Linked DNA regions of Caenorhabditis elegans. The protein of the gene in region 1 purifies or fractionates together with the protein of each later gene. This does not show direct contact. Each region holds a gene or a part of one and is shown in the gene's direction. Other genes may lie near its edges.

Evidence for each region. Proteins that work in one complex are often made in the same cells at the same time.
Region 2: the proteins of ZC196.2 (region 1) and rpn-8 fractionate together in Caenorhabditis elegans (co-fractionation; one large-scale study listed by BioGRID). This does not show direct contact.
Region 3: the proteins of ZC196.2 (region 1) and dcap-1 fractionate together in Caenorhabditis elegans (co-fractionation; one large-scale study listed by BioGRID). This does not show direct contact.

What each region holds. Positions count from the first base shown.
Region 1 is NC_003283.11:8,737,681-8,742,826, forward strand, and holds ZC196.2 (Major sperm protein), read left to right. Parts: upstream 1-1,755; 5' UTR 1,756-1,756; coding exon 1,757-1,931; intron 1,932-3,352; coding exon 3,353-3,593; intron 3,594-3,660; coding exon 3,661-3,775; intron 3,776-3,818; coding exon 3,819-3,932; intron 3,933-3,988; coding exon 3,989-4,309; intron 4,310-4,507; coding exon 4,508-4,579; 3' UTR 4,580-4,631; downstream 4,632-5,146. Other genes in the region: ZC196.3 (DUF713 domain-containing protein), read left to right, coding at 2-190, 239-418, 464-757.
Region 2 is NC_003279.8:4,173,664-4,177,791, forward strand, and holds rpn-8 (26S proteasome non-ATPase regulatory subunit 7), read left to right. Parts: upstream 1-1,655; 5' UTR 1,656-1,659; coding exon 1,660-1,779; intron 1,780-1,832; coding exon 1,833-1,977; intron 1,978-2,021; coding exon 2,022-2,107; intron 2,108-2,167; coding exon 2,168-2,224; intron 2,225-2,333; exon of another isoform or gene 2,334-2,401; intron 2,402-2,691; coding exon 2,692-2,820; intron 2,821-2,869; coding exon 2,870-3,268; intron 3,269-3,314; coding exon 3,315-3,467; 3' UTR 3,468-3,608; downstream 3,609-4,128. Other genes in the region: mrps-6 (Small ribosomal subunit protein bS6m), read right to left, coding at 308-526, 695-773, 823-968, 1,032-1,076; R12E2.13 (MIR domain-containing protein), read right to left, coding at 3,755-3,928, 3,992-4,081.
Region 3 is NC_003282.8:1,052,004-1,056,344, reverse strand, and holds dcap-1 (mRNA-decapping enzyme 1), read left to right. Parts: upstream 1-1,550; 5' UTR 1,551-1,558; coding exon 1,559-1,657; intron 1,658-1,706; coding exon 1,707-1,816; intron 1,817-1,882; coding exon 1,883-2,567; intron 2,568-3,271; coding exon 3,272-3,376; 3' UTR 3,377-3,821; downstream 3,822-4,341. Other genes in the region: Y55F3AM.13 (FH2 domain-containing protein), read left to right, coding at 45-173, 215-800, 865-1,010, 1,058-1,261. UniProt on the Caenorhabditis elegans protein: Component of the decapping complex necessary for the degradation of mRNAs, both in normal mRNA turnover and in nonsense-mediated mRNA decay.

The sequences.
Region 1 (5,146 bases):
GAAAGAGTTCGAGGCTGAATTAGAACAAATTCAAAGTCAAATGAAAAATCGTTTTATTGCACTATTTGAATGTATCAGATTAAAACAAAGATTTGAGGAAAAGGAAGAAAAAGTTGCTGATTGGATTCAAAATTGCTATAAGCAACCGATCAAGAGATTCCTAGAATATTTTCGAGATTTTCAGAATGTGGTAATTTGCATTTGCTAGTGTTTAAACATAATTTTTTTAAACATTTAGGCGCGTGAATGGAAATATTTTAAACGCTTACCGTCGGAATCACTTCAAGATGCATATGAAGAAATATCAATTCTTTCAGAATGTGTATTAAGCCTATTTGATACTCTTGAGTTTCTGTTTATCCAACTCGGTGAACAACATGACATAGCTACAGATGCATTATTCATCAAAGTTCTACAGGTACTCTCGTGTGTATTATCTTTCCAATGAAAATCCAATTTTCAGAAAAGTATAATTGATTTTGCACTTGTTTTATCATCGATTCTGAATATTCTTGATGTGAACGCCCCGTCCCACGAATGGTATAAACAACTCGAAAAGTTGTTTTTTATGATAAAGCTCAGTGACATTCCGACAACAACATCACTACGAAAAATTTGCAAAAAAGCCGTCGTTTCCAACTATGAGCAGTTAGAATTCCCGAAGATACACCTCAAGAGTTACGTCGTGATCCACGAACAAGACAATGTTCAAGCAGAAGAAGTTTGTACTTCTGAAAGTAAATGTGTTATTTGTTAAGTGATATAGATAATTTATATTTATATTCACTTCATACATACATATGTATTTACAAATTATATTCACTGAATGAAAAATTGATTTCTTTTAATCGACATACTTCGATGCCTTCAGAATCACAAATAAATTATAGAAACTTAGAGAAATTTAAACAAGTTTCTTGCCTTTGGAGGAAAATTGAAAACATCCAAAAAGTATGATATTTTCAAGGCAGTTTTCTACACACCGTCTCTGTGTTCATCAAACATCGGAGATCTGCTTTCATTTTCCGTGTTCAAAACAGTGTTTCGTAAATCTACTTCGTCTCTTTCAACAACCCTATCTATCCTATCAACCTATCGCTGGTTAGTTTTGACAAAATTAGGGAAGAGTCTAATGTTCAACCTAATCAGTTTTGCAGAAGGTAGAAAACAGAGTTGAACTCACATTGAGACGTCGTAGAGAATAAAACATTTAAAAAGTGAAATCGTGGTTTTTATAATCTCTCAAGTTTCGAATATGTTTTATCATGATTTGTTTTCTTCTAACTGTGGAACTTTTTTTGCAATTTATTTGGAATGAATTTTTGTAAGATGTTGAAATATGTACACAAATCTTAGCTATCTTTTAGCTATTGTAAGTAATTGTAAATGAATGTTTGGGGTTATAATAATTACTAAAAAAAACGTTTTTAAGATGCTGAAAATGATGTTATAATCTTTATGAGTTTTTGAGTGAGTTTTTATTGAAAAAAAAACACTCAGAAGTGGAAGACTCCATAATTATACTTGTGAGCATGATTTTATGTTTTGAAGACAAAAATATTGTGTTCTCAAAATAAAAAAGATTTGTTTAGTTGTGTGATCAACATTAATTTGTAAACAATCTTATCAGCATCTCTCTCGCGTTTTAGTCATAGCAATTCGTAGCGTTTGTTCTTTCGAAAAACGTTTCTCTCATTTTCTTGAAAGTTTCTTTGCTCTTTGAACGTTTCTTCGCTAATTTTGAATGTGTTCAGGAATGTGTGGTAAAACAATTCTTCTTGAAGTGACTCCCTGCGACAATTTTGTGTTCAATAAATCAACAAATCTGACTGATACTGCCTATGTTACTCTGAAAAATATATCTGAGAAACCAGTATGTTTCAAAGTGAAAACGAGTGTACCAAATATGTATGTCAGTCGACCAAATCCTGGTAAGTCACATTTATTAGAAAACTTTTCTCAAAAAATTACTTATGTATTAGGGTGAGCAATAAGTTTTTTCGTATTTTCTCAGTTTTCATCCTTTCTCAAATATTTTGTATGTGGTACATAGTATTCTGTTAGTAGTGCGAAATATATTGATACCATATATTTCCGCCCACTTCCAAACTGATTCATCCTCAAAACTTCGCTCGAAAAAAATATCCAATTTTTTCGATTTTTTCGGATTCTTTGGGAAATCCAAATGTCAGTACTCCGTGAGGTATTAGACCATTAGTTGTATACATAATATTAATTAAATTCAGAACTGAGCAGTATTAGATACCTTTTTCCCTTTTTGTTCAAAAATATAAAAAATATTACAAAAAATTACAGCAAAAAAAATACATTTTGATTTTGAGAGGGTATAAAACCGACATCGTAAAAAAATATAAGTACGGATGAAACTGCAATGTTGTTCTTCAGATTAATAGCAACATTTCTGCAGTTGAACACTTTTTGATATCTAAAACCAGTAAAAAGTGACAGGCTATTTAGTCAGAGGCACTCATTTTCGCTGAATCTGCCACATTCTTACGTTTGCCTACGTAGTTTTGTTAAATCTGAATTTATCAAAAACATTTTTCACAAAAACGACCAAACTTGTTGAATATGAAATCACAACATGTAATAATGTGTTTTTTGTTTTTGTCTTAACTTGATTTTTGCAATACGTGCAATTCGCAAAGTTATCTTAAAATTTTTTTTTCTCGAATTTTTTTGATTCAAATTTAGAGAAATTTTCTCAATCTTTGGTGTTTTTTGTTCCAACGCTTGTAACTTCCTGGATAACATTGTTATCAAAAACTGATCAACTGAAAAGTTGTGCACAAATATGTAATAAACAACATTGCAGTTGAACACTTTCTGATAAATTAAGATTTAACAAATCTACGGAGGCAAATGTAAGAATGTGGCAGATTCAGCGAAAATGAGTGCCTCTGACTCAATAGCCTGTCACTTTTTACTGGTTTTAGATATCAAAAAGTGTTCAACTGCAGAAATGTTGCTATTAATCTGAAGAACAAGATTGTCGTTTTATCCGTATTTATATCTTTTACGATGTCGGTTTTATACCCTCTCAAAATCAAAATGTATTTTTTGTAATATTTTTGAACGAAGGAAATTTAGTAAAATTTGGATTTCCCAAAGAATCCGAAAAAATCGAAAAAATTGGATATTTTTTTCGAGCGAAGTTTTGAGGATGAATCAGTTTGGAAGTGGGCGGAAATATATGGTTTCAATATATTTTGCACTACTAACAGAATACTATGTACCACATACAAAATATTTCAGAAAGGATGAAAACTGAGAAAATACGAAAAAACTTATTGCTCACCCTAATAAATACAATTTGAATCTACTGCTTCAGATTTGCTGAAACCTGGAGAAGCGAGGCAATTATCTGTCAAGTTTCGATCGAGCGACAAAGTTAGCCTGAACGCAAAATCATACAAGCTCAAAATAGAATCATGTGAATTTGAATCTGAAGATATTGATGATTTGAAAAGTTTCTGGAGCAGCATCCCTAATGAGAAAATACTTGTCCATAAGTCACCTATTATTCTTGGGACTGGAAGCAGCCCAGATTTTAGAAATGATCAAATTGCATCGTGAGTTTTCGTTTTTCTTAATTGAAATATCTTAAGAGAGATCTACTTCAACAATAATTTTTTTTAGAGAATCTTCGAGACAATCATCTCCTATTCAAAATGTTTCTGATGATGGCAAAAGTTCACATCATTCAACAGCCAAACAATTACAAGAAAATAATGAAAATTCAAAGAGCTTAAAGGTTGTGTTAATTTGTTACCTAAAAATAACAATCATAGTTTTAGTATACTAAACAACTGGTTGAAGTGCCTTTAGGCGAAAATCAACAAGCTGATCAAACTGGAACCACCTGTGATAAAAAAGACGAGTTTCAAAAAAAAAATCAATTGGAAGTTGAGGTTAAAATTAAAAAATATATTATTTTTAAAAGTTCTTTTTATAATTTTTTTTGCAGATAAAATTTGTGGATAAAATTCATGAGATCAAGTCCCAATTAGAAGACAGTTTTGAATTAAAATTGAAAGAAATGGAAATGAGACTGGAGGAAAAGTTCGAAAAAAGGATATCAAGATTAACACAATTTATGGAAACAATAAGTTTGTCAAATAGTCCTGGGAACTCTAGACGCGTTTTTGAATTGGACGATAATTTTTCAATAGTCGCAAAAAAGGAATTGGAACAAATGCGACAAGATTTCGAAAAAGTGCTAGATGGGCAGAACAAAATAGCAGAAGAGAAAATGAATGAGTTGAGGAAAAGAAGAGAGGAGCTTCAAGTATGAATTTAATTTTCATTTGAAAGAAAAGTAAAGTTGTTGCGTGGTTTGTTTTTAACTTTGAACGCCCAAGTTTTTTTACCGAATTTAAAATTTTAAGGTTTTTTATTGAAAAAAAATCAATTTTCAATTTTGTATTCGAATAGAAACTTTAAAATTATTCAAGGGCCAGACCACCAAAAACATGCATTATTACAGAGAGAATCAGACGAATTGAGAACTATGGAGGAACAACTTGGCATAACGGAAAGAATCTTCTGGGCGAATTGATAAGAAATTACTGTTTTTTTTATTTACAAATTTTAATAAAATTTAGAACTTTTTGGAAGATTATAACAATTTAAACAATTGCCTTTTACATTTTCTCATATCAGGTGTAGATGACAACCGCATAAATGTTGGACAATGTGGTAAGATTTTCGCGGGACTTTACGAGGACTTATAAATAGAACACACCTGTTAATTTGATTGTATTTAACTGTAGATTCTGATTTTTGGTATTGTACATATGATAGTTCTACCGTTTTGTTTGTTTTCCAGTGAATATTTGTTGCAGATAGAAGATAAACTTTCATTATTCATAGTTTAGACATAAGACATAAACCCCTCCCAAATTTAATGAAAGTGTGAGATGATTGATTTTTCTTTCGGTATTTCTCACATTTTCAATAAATTCTTTCTCATACCTATTTCATGTACACAAACTCTTATCGAAAACACAATTTAGACGTAGCAATACATTTCACTGTTCTCTATCTCTCTTCAGTCACTAACTTCATTAGTTTCACTGCAAAACAAAAAGTATTCCAGAAAAATGGTCCAATATTTTTGTTTTGA
Region 2 (4,128 bases), on another chromosome or scaffold:
GTTATTTTCTTTCAATAGAAAAGTGAACAAATATCACTTGGTCAGATGAACCAGGTACGTGATTTGAAGGAAGAAAAATAAATAAATAAAAATGTGATATTCATGAAACAAAACAAATCAATTCAACTTTAAGAAAACAAAAATCACTCTATAAATCCTAAAACTGTACAGAAGAATCGAGAAAACAGACAACGCAAAGTACGAAAAGATAGCCTCGTTTGATAACACTATCATAAGGAGGTGTGGCCAAAAGTGCATTGTCGGCGATCTTCGACCCGTAAATTTAAGTCGATTACGAATTTCATGTCTAGGGCCTTGGCGGAGCAATTGGGTAACTCTTCGGGATACTCTTCCACTCCTTTTCAGTACGTTTGTAGATCATCTGTCGCGTGAAATGACCCATCTTTTGATTTTCTCTCAAATCCTTGACTGCTTGACGTTCGGCAGGAGATTTGAGGATTTCTTCCAGATTGCATTCAACCTTTGGAGCCGGCAGTGTGTCCACTTGAATTAGATCGACTTGAACCTGAAAAAATATGGTTCAGATTTTTGTAATGACCAAAAAGTGACAAATTAATTTAGAAAAAGAACAAAACAACATTCGAAATGAATCTAAACAAAGAAAACTTTTAAACAATAAGACCCGATCATACATCAACATCAGATAATATATAATGAAATTTAACTAACTCACCGTGTCCAGGTCATGTGTCAAAATAGACTTTGTTTTCTGTCTAGCTTCCCGAGACATGTGCGCCTTGAAGAGGAAGAAACTGCAAAGAACAAACAATTTTTTTAAGATATATAGTTTTTAAATATTACTTTGAAGCGTAGACGGGCTCATTTGTCTGTTTGGCCAGCCGTTTATACGGTAAATCTCGATGACCCAGTGACTCAACCTTTTCAATTACTGCTCCGTGATCCAGCAAAGTGTTTCCAGCACGCGTTAAAGCTTTAACAAGATCTGCCTGAAATAAAGAATATTCTCATGATTATACACATTCTCACGCTTCATCGTGTTTTTTCTGTACCTTTGACAGAGATCGTGTGATCATGCTCACTTCATAAAACGGCATTGTTGTTCTCGCCCAGTATGAATGCTTTTTCTTCACTGAAAATATTTTCTATGCTACGAATTTGGAAATATGTCAATGAAAATCACGATAAGAAATCACAGCACAAGCTATTTTTCCAAAATAGGAAGTTGCCATTTTTCAACGACAGGCTGTGAACACAAGATTATTAAACAAAAATTTACTAGAACAATAAAATAAATGTTCAATTTTCAATTTTTCGCATTAGAAAGTTAATTTTCCGTCATTGCAATCGAAAAAAGTTAATTTTAAAGTAAAGAACCAGGAAAAATAAAGTGGAAATACGGGATGGGTCTCACCACGGCCAGTGTCGATTTACGGGGAAATTGCATGCGCCTTTAAACGATGATATTTCTTTTTTGAACGGGAAGCGGGAAATTGTCGTTTTTAAGCATTATTTATTTATTTCTTTTCATTTTTTCATTCAAATTATATTCTAGATACGTTTATGGCAGGTTTTTCCGCAATGATTAAGCGTTTCTCACTGTTATGTCGATTATTAACGTGTTAAACTGTTATGTGTTGATTTTTTATTGTGATAAATTTATTTTCGTTTTTTAGAAGAATGGCTCCAACTAACAAAGACGGAGATGTGGCGACTGTCAAAGCTGTAGATGTTCTCAAACAAAAGGCTGGAGCCCATCATTGCCTTGGAAATGTTCATGCAAACCTTCCCGTTAATAAGGTTAGCATACCTGAGCGAGAAAATTCGATTTTAAATAAACACAATTATTTAAGGTGACCGTCCATCCATTGGTTCTTCTGAGTGTTGTTGATCATTTCAATCGTGTCAGCAAAACTCAAAGCGTGAAGCGTGTTGTTGGAGTCCTTTTGGGGTCCATGAAAAAGGACAAAACTCTGGATATTGGAAACAGTTTTGCTGGTATTTTTAAAAATTTATTTGCTTACTTATAAAGTAATTTTCAGTTCCGTTTGATGAAGATGACAAGGATAAAAGTACATGGTTCCTCGACATGGACTATTTGGAGAGCATGTATGGAATGTTCTACAAGGTTGGTGAATTTTGAAATCTCGTTTTTATTTAATTTTAAACAAAAAAAATGAATTTACAGGTTGCCGCCAAGGAAAAAATCGTCGGATGGTATCATACGGGTCCAAAACTTCACAAGGTATATAAGAGGCAAAAAAGAGACGGGGACAACGCGCGTAGTGGTCTAGTGGCTAGCAGGCACACACTCTGCGCCTCCAGCCATTGGTTCGATTTCTCATTCCACTCGGGTTTGTGATGACTGCATACGGATCACTGGGCTCTGAATCTCTATGAACCGATAATATCCGTTCTGATACCCGTTTTTACGGTTTCATGATCGATGGAGCGCGAACTTGTTTAAATTTGAAATTATACTGTGCAAATAACAACAAAGCAAAAAAAAAAAAACTTAAAACAAATCAAATCAAAACTTTTGAAAAAAATCGAAAAAAATGCAGTGGATACCTGACAAAAAAAAAAGAAAAAACCGTGTCACAGTGTTGCGAAATTACGCTCCGCCTTACTTTCTGTGCCACCCTGATTTTTGCAAAATTACGGTGTTCAACTTCAACAGTTTAATTAATTATTTATTTATTAATTTTACAGAACGATATTGCTATCAACGAGCAATTGAAACGATTCTGCCCGAACCCGGTTCTTGTAATTATCGATGCTGAGCCAAAGAACATCGGATTGCCAACAGAGGCTTACATCGAAGTTCAGGAAGTTCACGATGTACGTTTCAAAATACTGTTTAATTTTTTTTCAATATATTGTTTTGTAGGATGGAACTCCACCAATCAAAACCTTCGAGCATGTGCCTTCAGATATCGGAGCCGAAGAAGCTGAGGAAGTTGGAGTCGAGCATCTTTTGAGAGATATCAAGGACCAAACTGCTGGAACTCTTTCACAGCGTATCACCGATCAACTTATGGGCTTGAGAGGACTGCAATCACAGCTTGAATCCATTGAGAAGTATCTTCATGATATTGTGCGCGGAACTCTTCCAGTCAACCATCATGTCATTTACTATGTTCAAGAAGTTCTCAATCTCCTGCCTGACGTCACTCATCCAGACTACATTGTTTCACAGAATGTGCAAACTAATGATCAGCTCATGTGTGTGTATATGGGATCTCTTGTACGATCGGTGGTCGCTTTGCACAACTTAATTGATAACAAGGTGATTTGCAAAGATTTTAAAATTTATTAAAAGCTATGATTTTTAGATCTCTCTCCAGAAGGCTGAAAAGGAGCAGGAAACTGGCGAAGCTGAGAAAAAGAAGGATGAAAAGGATAAGAAAGACAAAAAGGATGAAAAGAAGGATGAGAAAAAGGAAAAGGACAGTAAATCATCAACCCCTAATACTCCAAAGAAGTGATAAACAAACTCAGAACATTGATTGTATCCTCATGTCCACTTCTCCACCAATCTCTTTTTCTTTTACCCTATCGCATCATATACATTTAATTTATTCGGTCTTTTATTTTTCTGTGCATCAATGTAGTATTTTATCCCCGGTATTTAGATCAGTTGCCAATAATTTTTCAGAAGACAAAATCTAATAACTTTATTAGAAAAAATAACAAAGATAACATCCCCGTAAAGCAATGGTAAATATCACGAAGAAAGGCATGGCTTATTAAATTAGGAGTATCCAATGTGGATTTAAAGATCTTTTTGCTGATGCTTGATGTAAATGCCTTCGGCAACTTTCCATGCACTTCCACCAGTGATCGAGTCGGTGCCGACGACCTCCCGTTGTCCATGAATGGGGCGTCCGAATTGTTGTCCCGAGAGTGAGAGGTATGAACCAGTGACAGCGTGGCGAAGTTTGAATTGCTAAAGTGAACAATATAGGGTATTCAAAACGTATAGATAATATCGAAAAGGAATGTAACAAACCTCGGATTCCAACCACTCATCTCCGTTGCAAATCACAGTCCAATCATCTCCCGTGTCACTTTCTGCTTCGCTGCCAAAAGCGGAGACCTCCTTTAAAAAATCAAATTATTCATTTGTTTTCTCGAATTGCCAAACAA
Region 3 (4,341 bases), on another chromosome or scaffold:
TCAAGATTTCGTATAAAATAGGATTTTCCAGGGTAAATCACGCGATGCCAATGTACAAGCTGACACCGACGTTCCCACCGAATTTTGAGGTTCATCCGAAAATCGCCTGCTATCCAGTAGGTTCGTATCATAATCCATCTTTCGGAGGAGTCGGGCCTTCTGATGCGGTGCAGGTAATAGACGGATTTTGGCTCAAAAAAAACTGAAATTTCAGGTAGAATCCGATCCGCGCAAGGCTTTGGAGCACAAACAGCTCTCACTGATCGAGCAGCTCAAAGCACAGACCGAAGAGCTCAAGAAGTTGCTGGTAAGCCTTGGAGAGGCTGGAAAAGCAGAGAGATCTGCTCAAAAACCTGCGGAAAAAGCGCCAAAAGAGCCTGAGAAATCCGCTGGAGCAGCCTCTTCAGCTCCCGGAGTCCCCGGAGCCCCCGCAAAACTAGACAAGGACGCCAAGAAGGAGGCTCGCAAGGCTGCCAAGGCAGAAGCCGTAAAGAAATTGGCTTCCGGAGAGGCTCCACCACAGAAATCCGCGAAAAAGACCGTAAATTCGACTCCATGGACCGTCCAGGACGACCGAAAGACGTGGGAGACCAATCTGACTCTCACCGTGAATCTCCCAACCTCCCTTGTGGCCTACGAGCCGCAGGAGCAGCTGAAAAACGCCACGCTGACAGTGCGGGACGTGGATTTGCCGTGGGCTCGGGCTCTCGCAAAGGTCGGCGCAAGCCGTGGAGTCTCGTTTGAGGGAGAAGTCAAAAATCAGACGAAAGAGAAGAAATCCAGTCTGAAAGTTGTGAAAGGTGCGGGATTTTTTCTCTAAAAATCAGAATTTTATGATATACCCTTAATTTTCAATATTTTCAGGCCCTGCTCCCTCCCTGCAATTGGAAAAAACTACCGTCAAATCCCTTCAAACTATCTGGAAGCTGTTGGGCTCTTCACTCGGGCTCTTCTCTAGACGGCCACAACAAGTGCTCAGCGCCAGTCATCAAGCGATTTGGCTGGGAAAAGTAGGAAATTTTAGAAACTTTCCCAAAAAAATCAAATTTTCTTTCAGGCCGAGCAAATCCTTGCCGGCTCCTGTGATCAGAGCTTTGTCACACGTGAAGCTTCTCAGTTCCTGGCTCGTTTCGACTCGTTAAGCTCTCAATGGGAGGTGTGTGTCGCTGATATTGTGTTCAGAAGCCTTCTGAACCTTGGGGAGCACCTTCCGAACAATGTGGAGTTGTGGGCTAAGAAGATTGACGCTTTGATTGTTTAGATTTGATTTATTGATGTTTTTATTTGATTTTCTCGGTTTAAATGAATTATTTTGCATTTTTATCTGATTTTTTCGTTTAAGAAACAAATTTTTTGCTTTAAAAATTCAGTTTACAATTACAACGATACTCCAAAATCCCGCAGCGCGCCCTGTTTACCGTAAATCTACACCATAGAATTTCAATTTAAATTCTGTCTTTCTTTGTTTTTTTCGCGATTTTCACCGATTTCCGCAGATTTTTTGCACTTTTCTCATCATTTTTCATCGAAAACTCAACATTTTCATCCAGGAACCAGTATGAGCGACGCTAAAAAAAAGGCCGCCGCCGAGCTAGCCGCGAAAAACCTCGCACAACTCCAGAAAATCGACATCGCCGCCAGCAAGATTCTCGACAAGGTTTAACATAGAGAATTGTGGATTTTAAAGCTAAAAATTGGTTTTGTAGATGCCATTTGCCGCGATTTATCATATCGATGCGGCGAGAAAAGAGTGGAATCAGTCGAATTGCGAAGGAACATTTTTCGTCTATCAGAGAGCTGATCGGCCATATTTTAGGTGAGAAGAAGCAAGAAAACATGCAAAAATAGCTAAAATAATCAATTTTAAACTTATTTATTTCAGTTTCCTCATCGCAAATCGCAACGATCCATCGGATTTCATCGAGCCGCTCACCCTCAACCATATTCTCCGCCACGACGGAAATTTCATCTACTTTTACAAGGATTTGGCCTCAATTCAAGCACTATGGTTCCACCAGATTGATGATGCTCAGAAAATCTACAATTTGTTGCAAAAACTCGTGAATCGTCTGAAAGGAAGCACTACGGAGCAGGCTCGGGCCGCCAAGGCCGCCTCGGAGGCTCCACAGGCTTCGGTTCCGGCTCCAACGCAGGCTCCAGCAGCTCCAGCTCAAGCTCCACAAATGGCTCCTCAAGCCCCACCAAAAGTGGATCTTCTCCAGCTCATAAAAAGTGCGCAAAATCCGCCGCAAAAATCTGCGGCAACGATCGAACAAATGCCGCCAATGCTCCAGAAGCTGATGCTCAAAGAGCCGGGAGCAGCAATGTCGGCCGATGAGCTCGAGAAGGATCTTATAAAGTCGGCAAAACCGCATCGGAATCATCTTTTGCAAGAATTTACTAACTCAACGTCGGCGATTTCGTTGGCGGCGGTCTCGACGAAGCCTTTGCATGGATCGGAGGGTGATGTGGAGTCGGATATTGCTGAAGGAGAGATTTTAGAGCCACTTGATGCTTCATTTGTCGTTGGAAGTGGTGAACAGACGCCTGTTCTCAATAAAGAACAGGTTGGAGCTGGAAAAACGTTTTTTTTTTGAGTGAAAAGCTCAGATTTTTTAGATAAAATCAATTAAAAACTGATTTTTCACGAGAAATCTCGAAAATTTACATGAAAAATCTTTATTTTAGTTGAAAAATTTTGTCAAAAATCCCATTTTTGCTCGAAATTGGAGCTAAAAAATGCGAAAAATCAGTTTTTTAACGGAAAATTCAGGTTTTCCAGCTAAAAATCTGCTTTCTCAGTGAAAATGAGCAATTTTTAAGCTTGAAATCGACTTTATTTGTTTTTCAACATGAAATTACGATACTTAAGCTGAAAATTTTAGGCCCAGGCTTAGGCTCAGGCCTAGACCTAGGTTCAGGCTCAGGCTTAGGCTTCTGCTTCGGCTTAGGATTAGGCTTAGGCTTATGCTGAGGCTCAGGCTTAGGCATAGGCCTAGGCTCAAGCTTAGTCTTGTCCTTTAGATTTAGCCTTGGGCTTAGGCGTAGGCGTAGGCCTAACCTTAAACTTAGGCTTAGGCATAGGCATAGGCTTAGGCTTAGTCTAGCTTAGGTATTGAAATCTCTTTTAAAAAAAGTACCGTTTTTTCCTAAAAATTATAAAAAAGCGGTAAAATTTCCGGAAAAAAGCGAAATTTATCTAAAAATCTCAGATTTTTGTGAAAAATCGTTAAAAATCACCGAAAACCCCCTAAAATTCAAATTTTTTCAGTTCATCTCAGCAATCGCCCACCTAATGCAAACCGACGACGAATTCGTTTCACAGATTCATCAAGCCTACGTCAGTGCACTCAATCGGCGTCTAAATATCGATTAATTTCCCATTTTTTCGACCTTTTTCTCATTTTTCTGCTAAAAATCCTAATTTTCCCCGATATTTCCCTGATTTCTTGCTGGTTTTTGAGTGAAAAAATCAAAATTTTCTCCGATTTTTTGCTAAGAAATTTTTTTTTCCGATTTTTCCTGTGAAGATTTCCAATTTTTTGCTCGAAAAATCCCATTTTCCCTCTATTTTTCCCACTTTCCATATTTTTTCAACGAATATTTTTTTGTGAATATTGTGTGATTCCTCCTGAGCCCTTTTGCTCATTTTTCCCCATAAAATTGTCCATATTTTGTTCACTGAATGGGTCTCCCTATTGATGATATCTCAAACCACACCGCCCTCCAAAAATTTTCGTTTTTTTAAATTTAAAATTCCCCATTTTCTCCACTTTACTCTAAACTCTTGATTGTGAAAAATAATAAAGGAAGTCGCGTCGAAAAAGTGCAGAAAGTTGGCTGAAGCTATCGAAAATTGTGGAAAGTTACTGATAATTGTCGAAAGTTGACGAAAGTTGTCGGAAATTGTCAAAAACGGCAAAACTGACGAACTTTTGTCAATATAGTAAACGTTTTCAAACACCGCCGACAAGTTGTAGAAAACTGCTGGCAAAATATTGCACGGATTTCTGGCTTCCCTCATAAATTGAAATGGAAGAGTTTGTCGAACTAGGCCATTTTGGTTCGGCCATATCTGGGGTAGATTTACGGCGCGTTGCGGCTCGATTTTAGTTGTAAAACTAAATGCATTTGTCCGAGTGGAGTGCACCACTTTCCCATGCGTTGTCCGGCGAGCGATTGTCAATGGAGCGCGAAAAATCCATTGAGGAAGGCCGGAACCCCGTGTATATTAATAGAATAAACATTTTCATGTATGCAAAATATGTGCACAAAAACTTTTAAAGAAAGTCGGCATCAATTTTCGTGTTGAGCCATTTGGAATAAAGATTATCATTATTC